2 separate regions of the Mus musculus genome follow, and region 2 is reported to be linked to region 1. The links are microRNA targets in miRTarBase. Many come from high-throughput screens and were not tested one by one. Region 1 holds a microRNA gene; the other region holds the end of a gene's coding sequence. Distances are from middle to middle.
Evidence for each region. The annotated mature microRNA mmu-miR-1199-5p reads UCUGAGUCCCGGUCGCGCGG and lies in region 1 at 1,335-1,354, opposite strand. An mRNA with a match to its seed (bases 2 to 7 or 8) in the 3' UTR can be bound and repressed. Matches are read on the target gene's strand: a 7mer-m8 pairs with bases 2 to 8, a 7mer-A1 pairs with bases 2 to 7 and ends in A, and an 8mer does both.

Region 2: miRTarBase lists Cyld as a target of mmu-miR-1199-5p. The part of its 3' UTR that is shown has no 7-base or 8-base seed match.

The regions. Positions count from the first base shown.
Region 1 is chr8:84,010,260-84,013,340 of GRCm38, forward strand. It overlaps Mir1199 (microRNA 1199), which reads right to left and starts at 1,374; the gene lies at 1,256-1,374. It overlaps Misp3 (MISP family member 3), which reads right to left and starts at 1,461. Exons shown (of 3, transcript NM_001291292.1): 1 at 882-1,461; 2 at 452-513; 3 at 1-233. The coding sequence starts at 1,425. The coding sequence ends at 219.
Region 2 is chr8:88,746,465-88,749,545 of GRCm38, forward strand. It overlaps Cyld (CYLD lysine 63 deubiquitinase), which reads left to right. Exons shown (of 17, transcript NM_173369.3): 17 at 365-3,081. The coding sequence ends at 549. Among named protein-coding and RNA genes, the nearest start is that of Cyld, 51 kb to the left of the region's middle.

The DNA.
Region 1 (3,081 bases):
TCATAGGTTTTGCAGGGTTTCCAAGGAAGACTAGAGAATTTTATGGAGAAAGGTGGTTAATTCCATAGTCAGTATCAAAGATGGGCTGGATTTCAAGTTGCCATTAAAGAAAGCTAGCCCTTCCCTCTCTAGGCCTTCTGCTGATCTGGAGAGTAACCCTACCCTGGTTCTCCAAAGGGTATGTTACTTCTGTCCGCAGGTCCCAACCTTCATAGACCTCAGGGTCTGCGCTCCTAGAAGGAAAAGGGGAAGAGAAAGAACACCCTCAGGGAGAAGTTTGGCCTCTAGGCCTCCACCTCCTCTTCACTCTCTGGATCGCGTCTAGGACTTTTGAGTTTGGGTTAGAGTGGCGCTCCAGGGGACCAAGAGGCACCTTCTCCCTCCACCCCAGTGCCCAGGTGCTGCAGGGAGGGCTGGGAGACCGACAAGCATCGGAAAGGGAGTCTCCCACCTTCTCAGAGGCCCGTCTCCGCGGAGGCCAGATCACCGACAATTTTCCATCTCCCCTGCTCGCTGTGGGGGAAGGAACACTCAGCCGCGACTGCCCCTCCTCTTGCCAGCTGGAGGATGGCCGCACCCCTTATATACATACAGGTGTGCACCCCTCTTCCCCATGAAGGCCTCCACCCAGTTCTGAGGACCCAGGAACAGGAATGAGGCAAACTCAATGTAGAGAGGCACCCGAGTACTACAGAGGACCCGAGAACGCCAGAAGTCAAGGTTCCAAGGTCTGATGGATGTGGGGATCCTCACTCCAGGAGTGGGAGTGAAGAAAAGAAGGTGAACCCCCAGGAGAATAGTTAAGGGTCTGCAAGCCTACAGATGAATGATCACTGGAGGTGGAGACAGCTGGAGCTCTAGGGCCCAGGGGGACCGCTTACGGGTGAGGCTCGGCGCTGGCTCCTGGACCTCGGCGTCGCCGTAGATGCTGCGCCGCTGCAACTGCAGCTCCCGCTCGCGCTCGCGCACTCGTCGCACCTCCTGCTCCAGCAGTGACGGGGCAACGAGCGGTGGCAACTGCCCCAGTACCGGACAGCCGTCCTGAACGGCGGGGTGCAGCCGGCCTCCGGTCTCTGGCTGCCTCTGCAAGCCAGCGCCGTCCTCCGCCGCAGCCTCAAAGAAGCGCTTGAGTTCGTCCAGCGGCTGCGGCCGCCGCCGGGCGCTAGGCTCCGGAACCGCGGGGCTCGCCAGCGCCGCCTGCCTGTGAGCCTCGCGTTCGATGTCCCGTTGCATCTTCGCGCCCGCCCGAGCGCGCTCCAGGGCGCGCGGCAGCGGAGTACCGGAGCCGGGCCGACTGAGCACCGGCCGCACGCGCAACTCAATGAGTTCCTCGCCCGCGCGACCGGGACTCAGACCCCGGCTCCGGCGCAGGCTTTCCTCCCGCTCGCAGCTGCGGCGGATTTCGCGCTGGATGGGCGTCTCCATCTGCAATTCCGCCGGCGCCGGTTTGGATGCCGCGGGCTTCGGTAGAAAACACACCTGGAGGCCTCTGAGCCGAGACAGGGGCACAACTGCCCCAGTACCTCCGTTATACTAGTGCCAGGCGGCCCAGCTGTGGACCGCCCGGGCGCTCGGTCCGGTGCTCAACTGGCACCTGCGGGACCTGGCTCTCTGGCTCCAGAGTCTGCAAGTGCTCCTCTCCAGAGGTTTCCAGGACCTCACTGCCTCCCCCAGCAGCCCTCGGTGCCCTGGCTCTGCGGCTCCCGGAACACGTAGCCTTCAGGCGACCCCAGGACTCCACTCTCGGACACCCGAGGACATGGATGTTTGGAGTTAGGCGCCCTTTGAAAATTTTAGTTCTCAGAGCCGAATTGAGATGCCCAAATAGGTAGGACACGGTGCCCTGTGCAGTACCTGTAGTTACAGCCGCCGCCCGAGGTTCATAGGCGTCGCCAGCACTCTTCTTTGACCCGCCTCTGGCCTCCAGGAACATCCCCTGGGGGCAGGACTGGGCACCGCCCCCGTCACCTGCCAGCTGGATTCGAGTGGCCCTGGACCCGCCCTATGGGCCAGGGCGCCTCCACTGCTCTCCGGATTCCCGCCACCTGAACACACGGGTTGACTGAAGGGGTGGCTTCTTCGGAAAGGGCTTCCCTGAACTCACTACCCAGGGGGTATGTGTCGCCCTTTCCCTCTGGTACCACGCTGGCATTCTGGGGTCTTTTTTTTTTTTTTTTTTTTTTTTCATCACTTTCCGGAGACCTGACCTCTAGCGGAGCGCCGCGCTGATCGCTGAACCACGGCCTCCTTACAGAGTGTTTCCCCGGTCGTCTTTCGCTGACCTCACTAGTCTAGGTCAGCAAGTGCCAGCCTGCGGCCAGCGACACCACTCTCCTTCCCCCCGCCCCCTATCCCGTGATCTCCGGGCCTTCTCTGCACACTGATCGCTGAGGCAACACAGCTCGAGTCCAGCCCGAGGGTCGCCCGGGGCCGCCGCACTGGGTGCTGCTGCTACCCGGGGCTGCTCAGCTCTGTCTGGTTTGCAGCGGCGCTGCCGCCACTCAAAACCCTGGGGCAGATTCCCCACCCCCACCTTCCAGAAAAGCCCGCAAGGCATTGGCAGCCAAGTGTCCAGCTAGAATGAGCGGTGTTTGAGGGCACAGACATTACAGGACTTCCGGGCCTCAGCCGAGCAATTGTGGCTGGAAGGCGGTCAGCTTGGACCAGTTTGCCCAGGAGGCCCAAGATGGGGCAGAGGAGCCACCGGGTTAGCGGGAGGCAGTAGCGACCTTTGTCTGGTGCCCGATCTGTGTTTCGGGACAGGGTCGATGACCCAGAGTGAGGGCTAACCACTCGTAGAGACATTTCCACTCGCCCTTGTGGAACCCGGCTTTCACAAAAACCGGCCCACCCTGTGTTCTATAGTAACCTAGAAGAAAGAATTGCCTAAAGAAAATGGAAAGATTAAATGGGATTAAGAGAGTGGTGGCACACTCCTTTAATCCCAGCACTCAGGAGGCAGAGGTAGAGGTGTCTCAGGCCAGCCCCTATTCTCCGTAATGAGTTCCAGGACACCTGCATTTCCAGATCTTGCTTCACCAAAAAAGTAAATGGAAATAGAGGGCTACACAATCCCAACTA
Region 2 (3,081 bases), 4.7 Mb from region 1:
TACTAGGTGTTTCAAAAACTGAGCAAAATTTTTGTGGAAAAGAATGTCAGGCTGTTAGTGTATGGGAGGGACTTGCAGGTATGAGGAATCAAGACTGTGCACACAGTGGGTAGCAGCCTGCAAATCAGGCCTATCTTAAATATGTGTTCTTTCACCAGTTTTATTCACCTTTGCCTGTGGAACCCTCTCAGAAGCCAAGGAGACTATAATTCTAGAAACTGGAAGTCAAACAAAGGTTTTCTTCCAATTCTCAGAGTCAGTACTCATTAAATTCTAGGATAGTAGAATTGTTCAGGTAGGACAGGATGCCAGAAGGACTTAGACATTCACTTCCCTAAATAGATTTCACTGCCCCTTTCTCTAGGTGGTCAGAATGGCTTCAACATTCCACAAGTGACGCCCTGCCCAGAAGTGGGAGAGTACTTGAAGATGTCTCTGGAGGACCTGCACTCTTTGGATTCCAGAAGGATTCAAGGCTGTGCGCGCAGACTTCTTTGCGATGCATACATGTGCATGTACCAGAGTCCAACCATGAGCCTGTACAAATAACCAGGTTATCCGCAGTGGGCAGAGACAGCACAAACCTTAGTGCTGTGTCTTCCTCCAGCTTGTGGTTCTGTCCGGCACCCATTGCCGGCAATGGGTGTCTCTTTTGATGATGGCCCTTCAGCAAAGGATTCCTGTGTTTCCAAACAAATTGCTTTTGTGTTCCTGAAGTATTTAATAAGAAGCATTTTGCACTCTAGGAAGTATGTTTGTGTTGATTTTTTAAGAAGTCTAAATGGATTTATTAATATCTGACACTTTAAGTTAACTGCATTGATGATACGATATTTTTGGAAGCATACAATTTTAATTGTGACGTCTAAAACCTCTTTTAGTCCATTGAGGATGTAAATAAATATTTCTTCTTATGGACCAGGGATATGAAATCATTTTCCTTTTGTAGCTAATGATTGCCTTGAGAAAGACATAATATGATTTTATTAAGAGTCTGCCTTTACTCCAATTGTTGAAGGTGTGCTGAGTTTAATTGTTAATTTTCCTATATAGTGCTGATTTCCTGCATGTCTGTACTTTGCTGAGTTTCTGTGTTCCTGCAGCAGTGGTCAGAACATGCTGAAATTCCTTTCATGGTGTTATTTTTTATTTGTTCTAGTTTTGAGATAAATGAGTGACTCTGTCATAAAATGTCCATTTTTGATTTGTTCTTGAAGAATTAGGGTACAAAACAAGTATCGTAGTCATAGTAACAACTGTTACTGAACAGGTCTTCTGTAGGGGCTCCTAAGTATGAGACAACATGCAGTGGTTTCTGAAATGACTGAGCGATAAGTAAATTATATATTCTTTTTTTAAAAGATTTATTTTATTTATATGAGTACACTGTAGCTGTCTTCAGACACACCAGAAGAGGGCATCAGATCTTATTACAGATGGTTGTGAGCCACCATGTGGTTGCTGGGAATTGAACTCAGGACCTTTGGAAGGGCAGTCAGTGCTCTTAACTGCTGAGCTATCTCTCTAGCCCCAAATTATATATTCTTATACAGACCCACAGTCCAGAGAAAGTGAAGCTGGCTCAGAGTTAGCACCAACATTTCCCTGAAAAAATGTGTTAGGTGTTTAAAAATCTCATCGTAAATAAATTATTTTATTTTTAGTTTAAGTGAATTTCTCTTAATTTAAATAAGACTAATATTTTTGTTTGACTGAAGACCCTTGTACTCTCTGGTGTCAGTTTGGTGTCACTTGAAACAATGACAACCACGTCAGCATGTTACTGCAATGTCAGTGATGGTTTCAAAGGAGAAAATGGATGTCATCTTAGGACTGCTTGTGTGTGTATAGACCGTGGTGGATGCTGTAGAGTGCTTGTTGTCTGAGTGTTGTTTTGTGGTATGGCTGTCTCTCTGAATAATGTCAACCTTACAGAAAGAGAAGGTGTTATATGTGTAACATATGGCTTTATAAAAGATTTAATGTCAAAAGAGTCTATAAATATTGCTGTTATTTTTAAAGGCACTTTACTCCTTGGTTTTATTATTCCATTTTGCTGGCGTGTATTAGCTTTATATAAATCACAACACACAAAACTCGTCCATCTTGTAATCTTTGTACTTTTGCAATGGAAAAGTGTGTATACTGTGCACAGACTTTTATATAGCTGAGTGCCTAGACTGGGTGGAGAGGCCATGAGTAGATAGCAGTAAAGTCCTCCAGCTATAGGCTAGCCTTGTCTTCATCATCCTGGGACAGGTGAGAACGGTGAGCACAGGTGAGTCTGAGCTTGCACACTGACCAGAATTCAGTCACCCTGTAATAAGTATGTATTTAATGAGTCTGTTAGTGTGGTAGTGTGATTTTGAAAGGTTTAACTAAGGAATGGTGAGGTCTTTGTTTATAGGCAAGCCTGGCTTAACAGTGAAGGGGAGGGGGCTGAGGGAAAGCTTTTTTTTTTTTTAATTTCAGAAATGGAAGCAAAATCCATGTGCAAAGAGACTAGCTACTTGGCTTTCAGAGCAGAGGACTCAAAGCTTGTTTGCAGTGGTTCTGAAGTTGGGGTGGCACTTTGTGAGTGAGGAGGACCATGTCCACAGGCAATCCCTAAGCAAGATCGTCTCGAAATTGCACTGTGTTCTTTAGCAGTAGTGGCTGGGTAGGGGCACACAGCGGAACACCCACTTGCAGTGGCTGGGGAGGCCTGAGAAGCACAGGCCAGCGGGAGCTCTCTCCCATGCCTTCTTGTCCCTCTGGACAGCCCCTCCTCATTCCTTGTCCCAGCAGAGCCTGGTTTGCCCCTGGGGCAATAGGGTTGGACTGTGTGGTGCAGATAGCCCTCGTGCCTGTGGATTACTTTAATTTTGTAATCTTAGGTTTTCTGTACGGTTTTCCCATTGCCTTTTAAAATATTTTGAGTGTCCTTCTCCTTATCAAGATGGTAGTGTAGTAGGATTGTTTTACTCACAACATGGTTTAGGAGCCATAGCTACAAATAGGAAATATAAGAATTCTATTTCTCTACTGTGAGGCAAATCTGTATATATGTATGGAGAGTCAGGAGGATGAACAAGGGAGAGG